Macaca fascicularis: one gene and its partner. The protein of the gene in region 2 purifies or fractionates together with the protein of the main gene of each other region. This does not show direct contact. Links are inferred from orthologs where the notes say so. Each region holds a gene or a part of one and is shown on either strand. Other genes may lie near its edges.

Region 1 (6,114 bases), on a different chromosome or scaffold from region 2:
CGCATCCCGTACCTGGGGACAAAGAAACAGGTGCACTGTGCCTGTGCCTCTGCCCATCTCTCTCTGCCAGATATAAGAGCTTGAGTGCATGGCTGTCTCTCCTCCCCCAGGCTCAGCCACTCCAGAGTGGAGCTCAAGCACTGTCCCTCCACTATACATAGCCACCTCCCTGCTGCCTTCCTCTGAACATCTCTGGGCCTTGTCTATCCCTCCTGCCTTGTGTCAGTAGTCAGGACCAGGGGCCTATTATCTACTAAATGTCTCACACAGCCTCCAACCTGGCTTGAGAACCTCTTCTTTGAGACTCTCTGGTCTCCCCTACAGAGCACTCCAGATCACCACAGTCATCCCCCATCCCCCAGAGGCACTGTTAACCTAAAGCTTGGGTATTTGACACTCACAGCCAAAACCCTGTCCTAGGACAGCCTAGGTGGCTCTGAGGTAGTCAACCTTGTCAGCTGTCACAGAGCACCTGTGAGTGGCCTAGTCTGGGCTAGAGGCAGGGTCCCAAGGAGATCAAGTAGCCAGGAGGAGAAGCTCCAGTTTGGACTCCACCACCAACCAGAGATATTATCTTAGGCTATTTCCTTCCCCTTTGTAAGTCTGTCCCCTGGTCTAGAAAATGGGAATGATCATTCTTGCCCTCTCTTCTCACAGGGTTTTTTGAGGATCAAGTGAAATTATGTCTGCGAGAGTAATGCATAATGGTAGAGTACTATTCAAATGTGCTAGACTTCATTATCATTATTCTTCTTATTATGGATGTGCCACCTACAAATGTAATTAAATTCGTTTAAAAGCAATTTCCCCTCCTAGGGTACCAGAGACAGAAGTTTACAGCTCATTGTGTACTTTCCTTTCTTAAGCCTAGAACAATCTTTTCTTACTCCTAATTGTAAACTCTTAATCCAGTTCTCCAGGTTTGGGGAGCAGGGTTATGAACTCTATGGGTTCCCCCTTTCAGCATCCTCATCTTGCCCTGGGCACTCCAGCCTGGGCAACAGAGTGACACCCTGTCTCAAAAATAATAAAAAATAAAGAAAAACAAACAAAAGAATGAAATCCTGCCATTTTCGACAACATAGATGAACCTAGAGGTTCGTGTTAAGTGACATAAGCCAAACACAGAAGGACGAATACTGCATGATCTCACTCATATGTGGAATCTAAAAAAGGTGATTTCACAGGAGTAGAGAGTAGAATGGTGGTTACCAGAGCCGGGGGAGGGCAGGAGAGGGGGAGAGAAGATGGGGAGAGGTTGGTCAATGGGTACAAAGTTATAGTCAGGCGGGAAGAATAAATTCTGGTGCTCTATTGCACAGGAGGTGACTATAGTTGATAATAATGTATTGTATATCTCAAAATAGCTAGAAGAGAGGATTTTGAATGTTCTCACCACAAATAAATGTTTGAGGTAATAGATATGCTAATTACCTTGATTTCATCATTCATTGCACAATGTATATATGTATCAAAACATCACACTGTACCCTATGAACATGTACAATTATTATGTGTCAAAAAATAAATGTAGAAAACCAAATGTATTGACTAAATTTAAAGAAAAGAGAGAACTATAAAGTACTTTATGGGCTTAAAATATTTATTTTTGATATTAGGATCTGAAGAGTCCCATTTTCTCCTCATTTGCTCTTAGATAATAAAGTGTCCCTGAGATCATTTTAGGGTCCCTGCTCTGGTTCCACTGACATCTTACCAGGCCACATGCAGACCTACATGCCATCTTTCAGCTCAGCTGTCTAGCAGGAGCTTGGAGCATTCCCCACATCTCTCCAGGAACCCCTCTGAGTACCCCTGGCTCTATCTCCCTCCCTGCCTTCCTCCCTGCAGGACTATCACCCTGCTCTGCTCCCCATGGTGGCCTGGCCCTCTCAAAATCCCATGTGTAGGCTGGGGTGGGGCTGTTGCACATACGGAATTTGGTCCACAGATGAAGTAATGGCTACAAGGAACTTATCAGTCATGGCGAGGAGGTTGCGTAGGGCGATATCCAGTTGTCTCTGGACCTCGGGGTGGCTCAAGGCCTGCTCCGGGGTGACATCATACGGGAGATGGCTATGAGCAGAGAGAGACAAGGTATAAACAGGAGCACCCTCCAATGGCCTCCTTCCCCAAGGCCCTATTCCTTAACCTCTTGTCTAACAACAAGATCTTATACAGATGTGCTAAGGACAGCTCAGCATGCTAAAGGAGAAAGGGCCAGAATGAGAGTAAGGACTGGAGAAATGCAATCGGGAGGTGAAGAAGAGTTGGAGTATCTACAGGGAAGCTGGAAGAATGTAGGAAGGAACAGAGAACCTGGAATCTATGGACACTTCTAAGGGGAACAGATGACAAGCAGGCGGCTGCGCTGCAAATAGTCTTTGGGAGTTTGGAATAATGGAGAGGCTGGGCCAGAGCCTTATCGTTTCCTCACTTAAAGCCTCCTGTGCCATCCAGAACAGCCACCAGGATTGCCTGCTCGCCTCCATGGCTATGTTTCCCTAGCACCTAGAGACCTGAGCAATGACCCCAGGCGATAAGGGCAACCTATTTCTCCCACTATCTCGTTTGCCTATTCATCTATAAATAGAAATATTCATCTATACCCCTATAAATAGGAGTCCATGTCCTAACTCCCAGCAATTTTTTTTTGGTAGGGGGGACAGAGTCTCACTCTATTGCCCAGAGCTGGAGTGCAGTGGCACGATCTTAGCTCACCGCAACCTCTGCCTCCCAGGTTCAAGTGATTCTCTTGCCTCAGCCTCCCGAGTAGCTGGGACTACAGGAGTACGCCACAACACAAGGTTAATTTTTGTATTTTTAGTAGAGATGGGGTTTCACCATGTTGGCCAGGCTAGTCTCAAACTCCTGACCTTAGGTGATCCGCCCACCTTGAGCCCCCAAAGTGCTGGGATTACAGGCGTGAGCCACTGGGCCCAGCCCTACTGCCAGCAAATTTGACACATCATTTGCAAGCACTGACATAGCAATTAAGCACATTTGCATATTCATCTGTACTCATTTTAGTTAAGCCCACCAGGTCTGGAGTCATTTACATTAGTTTCATGTTAATTATCAGAGGGGGTCTAAAAGACTACCTTATTCATGCCTAAAAAGCTGGTATCATATTTGCATAAATCAGCACGCCCATTTATATGCCACCTTCAAAGTACCCCCAAGCTTCCCCAGTAGGGTCGAGACACAGCTGATCAAAAAGAGCTCTCCCTCTGCCCATGTGCTCACCTGCGCTGCCCTGTCTGGGCCTCAGTCTGGTTGATCCAGTTCTTATAGAGGTGGACAGGGTCTGTGTGGACGCTGAGCACTTTGTCCTCTAGCACATCCTGGATAACCTTGCCCAGAATCTCCTGCAGGGCACTCTGTCCCCGCCCATTGCGGTAGAATCTCACCACCAGCCTCACCACTGTTGGGTTGCCTGTCACCACGTCCTGGGGCTGCTCCACCTTTGACCTGTGGTTTAAGAGGTCATTGAAGCTAGTCTTCTGCCTCTGTGTAGGACAAACCGTTACTTTTCCTTTTTGAGATTTTGGCTCTCAAAGCCTGCCCTGGTGTCCCTGCTCTTAAGGAATGTCTTGATATCTCTCTCATCCTTTGTGTTAGCATGTCAGCCCATATCCTCCCACTGTGCTGTCCCAGATGTTTTACAGTTTCTCCACAGGAGGCAGAGAACAGAGGTCTTCTGATTCCATTTCTACCCTTAAGCCTCAACAAGCTGTCACCTTGTGAAGAAGCCAACAGGGGCATCTCTTAACCCATTCTCTCCCCATTCCTTTGTGTCTGGAGAGCCTACTTGACTTCCTCCTGGAGTGCTGTCTTGAACAGCTGGAGCAGGAGATAGGCCTCTCGGCGGCTGGAGGCATAGTTGTACAGGCTGAAAATCACTGCCTCCATGAACTTGGTGGTTTTGTTCTGTGGCATCTGAAAGATCAGCTTGGCCAGGTAGATGGGCTGAGTCTGCAAGCAAGAGGGGAGACAGGAATGGCTGACCATGTACTTCAAGGACCAGTGATAGGATAAAGAAAAGTTTTCCCTCGATGGAAATCTGGAATGGAGAAAGCACTACCACACTTTCTCCAGGTGCTAGTGACATTCCAGACAAACAGGGGAAGAGGTAGTCTCTTTTCCTGGGGATAAGGAATTAAGATTATGGGAAAGGACACCTTGCATGGTGTCAAAGGCACAAACAAGAAGGCCTTGAAGTCTCAGACCCTCAGGAGATGGGAGAGACTTCTCCTTGGAAAGTCCTCTGCTAACCTGGAGCAGGTAGAAGAGGTGTTGGTATGCTTCTAGTTTCTGCCGTTTCTCTTTGCTCAGTGACTTTAATCCCTTCTGCTTGTCCAGAACCATCATATCCGACAGCTGTTCCTTATTCCTCTTGGTCAGCTTCTTGCAGTGGGAGACCACTTCCTGCAGGGGTGGAGGAATGGGTGATACAACCAGCCTAGGCCATCCCAGGGCACAGAACGTATGGTCCAGAATCAGTGCCTTGAAGAGCCAGGGCTTTCTGCTGTTCAAGGAACAGGCATAAGCTGGGGGAGAGAAGCAGTTCTAGGGTGAGGAAGGGCCCCTCCTAGTGCCCTGAGACCCCATCTGGTTCCTCTCCTGTCATGGGAGTGAGTCTCCAAAGAGAATTGGGTTGCCAGGCTGAGGAATTGTGTCTATTTGGCTTTTGCTATCACTTCTTATTAGACTGCTACACACATTTGAGGTGGAGCTATCACTATGTCACTATTACCCTGTCACTGCATATTTGTATGGTAATTTATGATTTAAAGAGCTTTCTTATCTATCTCTATATTTGGCCTGGAGAGGCGGACATTCTCATTATTCCCAGTTTGCTAATGAGAAAACAGACTTAGAAGTGAAATGAGCACCCACAGCCCCATCCCTAGGAATCAGCAGAGCCGGGCATTCTGATTTTAGGTCTCATGCTCTTTCTACTCTGTCATGGGTCCCCCGAAATGATTTATTAGAATGGCAGAGGGCCACTGGAACAAGGAACTGAGTCAGGTGATAAAATCCACACCATTTTGAAAAAATTGATTAGCAAACAGAGAATGGTCAGCATCACATCTCCAGAGGTAGACAGATCTGGGGAAGGGGAGGACTGGTGGGCCCCACACCTGCAGAGTGATCCGGTTCTTCACCAGCAGGCCAATCTTGATGTCCATGATGTTGAGGTCCTGCTCCAGCTGCTGATTGGATCGGATCTTCCTAACTACCTCTTCCTGGAGCTTCAGCAGCTCTGCCTCAGCCAAGAAGTCCTGCTGGCTTTGATTCAAGAGATGGGCAAATCTGCGGACCACACTGAGAGGAGGGTGGGGTGCATGCACTGGGAGGAAGGGAGGAGGCATCAGGATTAGGCATGTCTCATCAGAGGCCTCCTTGCCAGTCCCTGCCCCAGAGTTAGCCCACCCCAGTCCCCGTTCTGCTTGGAATCAGCAGGTCCCCAACCCCAGTCGTCTTCTAACTGGTTCTGCTTGCACTTGGAGGGCAGTGGGTAGCCTCTTAGCCAGGCCTGTCCCTGAGCCCCCTGTCTTATAACTGGAGATGACATAATAGCTGCTCTTCCCCTACTTCTGATTCACCCCAGCCTGGGCCTATCCCAGGGACCTCTGACACCAAAGCCAGAGACACAGCTCCCTCTGATTATCCTCCCAGACCTCCCTTGTCTACCGCAATTTACCACTTACTTCTGCTGGGCCAACCTGCCCCTCCTCCTACCTGCCAGCCACCACTCAGCCCTGCTTGCCCTCACAGTGCTCCTCTGTCAGGAGTGTCTGTACACACCAGGAAGGACAGGTAGATGGGATGGACAGTGGGCTTTATAATATAGGAGAGGTCAGAGCTAGCTGGTGATTCTCCTTGAATCACCTTTGGAATTAGTATTTGAGCAAAAAAGAAAGAAGCCTCTGAGCTAATTTATTGGAAATAACAACAAAACAACTAATACATAGAATGTTTACTATGAGACAGAAGCTGTTCTAAGTGCTTTACACACTTAAGACCACCTGTGAGGTCAGTACACTATAACTATCCTCTCTTACCAATGATAACTCTGAGACTCAGAGAAGGTAAGCAACTTGCCCCACG
Region 2 (6,114 bases):
AAATAATTTAACGATTATTTCGAGAAAATAAAAACCTGAGGGCAATTTCAACTGAGAATGGCGACTACCTCCTCACCATCTTTTGGAGAACGAAGAAACGAATAGTCTGAACAGACTTAGCCAGACAGAGCTACCCAACAGAGAAGGATGCCAACGTGAAATGACCACAGGAAATGTAATATCTCTTTTAGGACGCCCTAGGTAAGAAATCTTCCAACTGGTCCTTCAGGAGTGTGTCTAAGCAGTCTTGGATGAGCTACATAAACAGGTCTGCAGATCACAGAGCCAGCAACCAGGGACCACATTCCATTTAGTACAAAATTTAGAGGTTTCACCTGTATCCACAAGAGACCCAGGTGCCAGCATGTTGCTCCCAGATCCTGTTCTTCTTAGCACCGTGTGGCCCAAAGGGATGAGGCCTTCCAGACACTGGTGTCTGAGCATTTGTGGCCTGCCCTGAGTTGTCAAGATAATTTCCTTATCTCTGAAGGAGTCCGGGCAGGAAGCCTTCCACTGCTGGGTGGGTGCTCGTTCCTCTTGCTCCTTAAGCGCCCCGTTCACCCCCTTGCTGGTACAGGGTGTATTACATGATTTATGGTACTTTTCCGTGAACTGCCTGAGGGCAAGAACCATGTCTCACTCCCTTCTTGCTCTTCAAATATTTTCTAGGAAAGCAGTCCATGGTCTCACACAGAGGAGACATGAAGTTTAAGTGCTAGCCCTATGAGGACACCTGCTTTCATACCAGGCCTCACACTCTACAGCTTTGTTCAAGCTGAGGAGAGTTCTCCTTCCTCATCTGTTGTTCCTCAGAACACAAAGTGGGACTCCTGCCAAGTCACCCTTGACTTACTGTGAGGCGTCCCTTAGAGAAAGGCCGCGCCCTGCCCGGTACCCCCTGAGTCACAGCAGGGTGGCTCTCATTTCTCAGAATGACACCACACCCTTCCACATGTGTCCAGTGGGCTGGAGACTCCTACTCTACCAGTCAGTATGTTTTTAAATCCATTTACAATCTGAATCAGTAAACATCCACTGGGTATAGTTTCCTAAGGTACTGAGAAGAATTTGAATTGTCTGGGGATTATAGACTGATTGTTAATACAGTAGATTTAACTACTAAGTTATTTCATCCATAATACCCCCTAAAACCACAGGCTGCCTCATCATCAATCGGGGCTCAAAGCCAGCCTTTCTCTAGGAAGTCTTCCTCACCTCAATTCAACCCCAAACCCCAATCCCTCCGGCCAATCCAGGTTTGCCGAGCACCCACACAACTGCCACTCGTTTGGGCACAACGTGGAGAGCAGCGCTCTCTAGGCTGACCCACCCGCACACTCAGGAGCAGGAGAATTCTGACAGCGGCTGGCCCGCAGTGTGTGCTGTGTGCCCAGGACTGCTAGGGGTGCGTGACATGTACTCATCTCACCCTACGAGGACACAGGCAAAGACTGGAGAGAGGAAGAGGCCTGCCTGAGGTCACAGAGCTAGGATAGGACATGCACACAGGATATCCACCCAAGGAATCTCAAGCATATTTAAGTTTTGCTTCCAAAGACACTTTTAAAAATGAAGAACAAACATGTAACAAGATCAGCAAAAGATACACAAGTAAAACAACTGCTTAAAGAAAAGTAACTTTTAACCACAACAATGTCTTCTAAGTACCCATTTTCACCAGCTACTGCTCTAATTAGCTTTGATAAATAAATCACTTTTGTCTGATACAGAAAAAAAAACTAAACTTTTTTTTCTGATTGGACACAGTGGATACATTTTACAAAACCAAAACCTCAATCTACATTGAATAGATTTAGGTTCTATAGCCATACAAATTATGTATTTTGTGGGAAAAAATGCATTAAACCTGTAAGATTAGTTACTAACTTGGTTTAAAGAAACCCGAATCTTAACTGCTTAATTTGATTCTGCGGTACAAAACTGTCACACAGCAAACTTGTCTTCAAACCAATTGGTGTTAAAAACTGATTTGCAAAAACAAAACAAAACAAAAAGCACCTTTCATACGGTTATTCTGAAGCTAAATGGAAGACTGTAAAATGCCCAACAATGGAACAGCTGTTAACGCTCAAAACACAAAACCCCTGCCATCTAGGGGGATGTTTATACGGAACTAATTCCGCCCCGTCTGCTATTTACTCAATATCCAAATGATGGCAATATAAGCAAGTCCACAGGTAACATGCACTAATTAAACGCTCGAGAATTATATACTCTAAAAAAGACACATTAAAAATCAGCTGCAATCCTTACTGTTTGCGGATAGGATAGGGGGCGTAATCTGTCATAATCTTCTTGTCCAGCTGTATCCCATAAGCCCAGATTCACCGGTTTTCCATCTACCATAACATTGGCAGAGTAATTGTCAAAGCTGTAGAACGGAATGAAAATGGTTAGTCACAGATGTGGAACCTAAGTCACTGTCCTGGCCATCCTAGAGAAGGTGTGCCAAGAAAAAGGGTGGGGACGGGCCTGGAGGATGCCACACCAGCAATGTCTCTGCAGGCACGAGGAGGAAGGAGGCAGGGGCAAAACTCACGGGAAACAAACCCAACCCAAAACTTGAGAAAGAAAAATGAAAGAAACAAACAACAAGCTATTTAAGTGAAACAAATCACTGTCAGAAATACATACACTTCACTTTAAACAAAGTTTAAGACTTTTATCCCAGGAAGAAGTAAGTGTAAAATTAGCCCCGCTTTCAAATCCTCCTTGTTGGGTTTTTCATGTACTTATGTCACTCATTTTCAACAAGAGAGCTGGCCACTAGAGCTACCCTCTGCAGGGTTTCCAGAAGGCCTGAGTGTAGAACAGTAACACAAAAGACACTTGCCTTAACAAGCCTCCCAATAACATTTTCAAAGTGAGTGTACCTGATGACACAAATATTTAAATTCATGTGAAGTTGGCCGGGCACGGTGGCTCTTGCCTGTAATCCCAGCACTTTGGGAGGCCGAGGCGGGCGGATCACGAGGTCAGGAGATCCAGACCATCCTGGCTAACACGGTGAAACCCCGTCTCTACTAAAAATACAAAAAATTAGCCGGGCGTGGCGGCGGACACCTGTAGTCCCAGCTACTCGGGAGGCTGAGGCAGGAGAATGGCGTGAACCCGGGAGGCGGAGCTTGCAGTGAGCCAAGATCACACCATTGCACTCCAGCCTGGGCGACACAGCGAGACTCCGTCTCCCAAAAAAAAAAAAAAAAAAAAAAAAAACAAATTCACATGAAGTTGCTACACAAATTAGTCAGGAGAGGTAACCCAGCAAAGCCTACAGGCTGACAGAAGGAAATCGGACCCAAGTTAAAAACTGCTACTGGTCAGCAGAAACCAAGCTTTAGAAAAGAATAGTGTTTCCTCTGGACAGGAAGGCAAAAAAGAAAAGGAAAAATACAATAAAAAGCAGAGGCTGGGCACGGTGGCTCACGCCTGTAATCCTAACACTTTGGAAGGCCGAGGTGGGTGGATCACCTGAGGTCAGGAGTTTGAGACCAGCCTGGCCAACATGAAGAAAACCCTGTCTCTACTAAAACTGCAAAAATTAGCCGGGGCGTGGTGGCGGGTGCTTGTAATCCCAGCTACTTGGGAGGCTGAGGCAAGAGAATCACTTGAACCCGGGAGGCAGAGGTTGCAGTGGGCCAAGATCACATCATCGCTCTCCAACCTGGGCAACAAGAGCAAAACTTTGTCTCAAAAAAAAAAAAAAAAAAAAAGGAAGAAGAAAGAAAGAAAAGGTGATAGTGACAGACATGGTAATTATGCTTCCATAAGAAAAAGATTATAGGATAGGCCGGGCGTGGTGGCTCAAGCCTGTAATCCCAGCACTTTGGGAGGCCGAGGCGGGCGGATCACGAGGTCAGGAGATCCAGACCATCCTGGCTAACATGGTGAAACCCCGTCTCTACTAAAAATACAAAAACTTAGCCGGGTGAGGTGGCAGGCACCTGTACTCCCAGCTACTCGGGAGGCTGAGGCAGGAGAATGGCGTGAACCCGGGAGGCGGAGCTTGCAGTGAGCTGAGATCCGGCCACTGCACTCCAGCCTGGGTGACAGAGCGAGACTCCATCTCAAAAAAAAAAAAAAAAAAAAAAAAGATTATAGGATAAATGGTATTGTGACTTTCTTTCCCCTATAAGGGAAAAAGAATCAGGTCCTTGCCTCGTTCTATACCAAAAATAAATTCTAAATGGATTAAAGATAAAAATTTTAGCCACAAAAAACCTAGAAAAAATACTAGAGCATACTTTTGCATTATTTAAGTAGGAAAGGCCTTTCTAAGATACAACATACAATTCTGAGGGAGAGGTGGTATTATTACTATTATTTTATTTTTTTTTTGAGACAGAATCTCACTCTGTCACCCAGGCTGGAGTGCAGTGGCGCGATCTTGGCTCACTGCAACCTCCGCCTCCCGGGATCAAGCGATTCTCCTGCCTCAGCCTCCTGAGGAGCTGGGATTACAGGTGTGCACCACCACGCCCAGGTAATTGTTGTATTTTAGTAGAGATGGGGTTTCACCATGTCGATCAGGCTGGTCTCAATCTGACCTCGTGATCCACCTGCTTCAGCCTCCCAAAGTGCTGGGATTAAAGGCATGGGCCACCACGCCCAAGTGATGTGGTATTATTTACATTAAATGCTAAATTTCTATACGGCAGAAGACACCACAATGAAGATCAAAGACAAATGACAGACTGAGAAGGATTATTTACGAAACGTTCCATCAGGCCACGTGCAGTGGAGCATGACTATAGTCTAGCTACTCAATCGGCTGAGGTGGAAGGACCAGCAGTTCAAGTCCAGCCTGGGCAATACTGCAAGATCCCATCTCAAAAAAAAAAAAAGAAAAGAAAAGAAAAGGGAAAAGAAAGGAGAAGGAAGGAGGGAAGGAGGGACAGAGGGAGTGGGGAGGGAAAGAAGGAAATGTTCCATCAGTAAGAAAAAATTTCGGTCGGGCGCGGTGGCTCAAGCCTGTAATCTCAGCACTTTGGGAGGCCGAGACGGACGGATCATGAGGTCAGGAGATCGAGACCATCCTGGCTAACACAGTGAAACCCCGTCTCTACTAAAAACTACAAAAAACAGCCGGGCGCGGTGGCTCAAGCCTGTAATCCCAGCACTTTGGGAGGCTGAGACGGGCGGATCACAAGGTCAGGAGATCGAGACCATCCTGGCTAACACGGTGAAACCCCGTCTCTACTAAAAAATACAAAAAACTAGCCGGGCGAGGTGGCGGGTGCCTGTGGTCCCAGCTACTCTGGAGGCTGAGGCAGGAGAATGGTGTAAACCCGGGAGGTGGAGCTTGCAGTGAGCTGAGATCCGGCCACTGCACTCCAGCCTGGGCGACAGAGCCAGACTCAGTCTCAAAAAAAAATAAATAAATAAAAATAAAAATAAAAAATACAAAAAACTAGCTGGGCGTGGTGGCGGGCGCCTGTAGTCCCAGCTACTCGGGAGGCTGAGGCAGAAGAATGGCGTGAACCTGGGAGGCGGAGCTTGCAGTGAGCCGAGATCGCGCCACTGCACTCCAGCTGGGGCGACAGAGTGAGACTCCGTCTCAAAAAAAAAAAAAAAAAAAAAAAAAAAAAATTTTCAGTAGAAAAATAAGATTTAAACAAACAATTCACAGGAGACTAAAAATGTACAGTAAACATTCAAAAGAGCCAGGTGTGGTGGCTCACGCCTGTAATACCAACACTTTGGGAGGCCAAGGTGGAGAATCACTTGAGACCAAGTGTTCAGGACCAGCCTGGGCAATAGAGCAAGACGTAGCTCTATAAAAACACATGTTTTTTGTTTTTTTTTTTTTTGGAGACAGGGTCTTGCTCTATTGCCCAGGCTGGAGTGCAGTAGCACAATCTCGGCTCACTGCAACCTCCGCCTCCCACGTTCAAGCAATCCTCCTGCCTCAGCCTTCAGAGTAGCTGGGAGTAGAGTCATGTGCCACCATGCCCAGCTAACTTTTGTATTTTTAGTAGAGACGGAGTTTCACCATGTTGGCCAAGTTGGTCTCAAACCCCTTACCTCAGTGATCCACCCAGCTCAGCCTCCCCAAGTGCTGGGATTACAGGCGTGAGCAAAATTACTTAATTA

Evidence for each region. Proteins that work in one complex are often made in the same cells at the same time.
Region 1: the proteins of RAC1 (region 2) and IQGAP3 purify together in Homo sapiens (affinity purification with mass spectrometry; 3 studies listed by BioGRID and IntAct, with this or other methods). This does not show direct contact. The link is inferred for Macaca fascicularis from reciprocal best matches to the Homo sapiens genes RAC1 and IQGAP3.

What each region holds. Positions count from the first base shown.
Region 1 is NC_088375.1:104,534,702-104,540,815, reverse strand, and holds part of IQGAP3 (ras GTPase-activating-like protein IQGAP3), read right to left. Parts: intron 5,354-6,114; coding exon 5,145-5,353; intron 4,429-5,144; coding exon 4,276-4,428; intron 3,976-4,275; coding exon 3,812-3,975; intron 3,472-3,811; coding exon 3,247-3,471; intron 2,077-3,246; coding exon 1,936-2,076; intron 13-1,935; coding exon 1-12.
Region 2 is NC_088377.1:45,973,740-45,979,853, forward strand, and holds part of RAC1 (ras-related C3 botulinum toxin substrate 1), read right to left. Parts: intron 2,393-6,114; coding exon 2,275-2,392; intron 1-2,274. UniProt on the Homo sapiens protein: Plasma membrane-associated small GTPase which cycles between active GTP-bound and inactive GDP-bound states.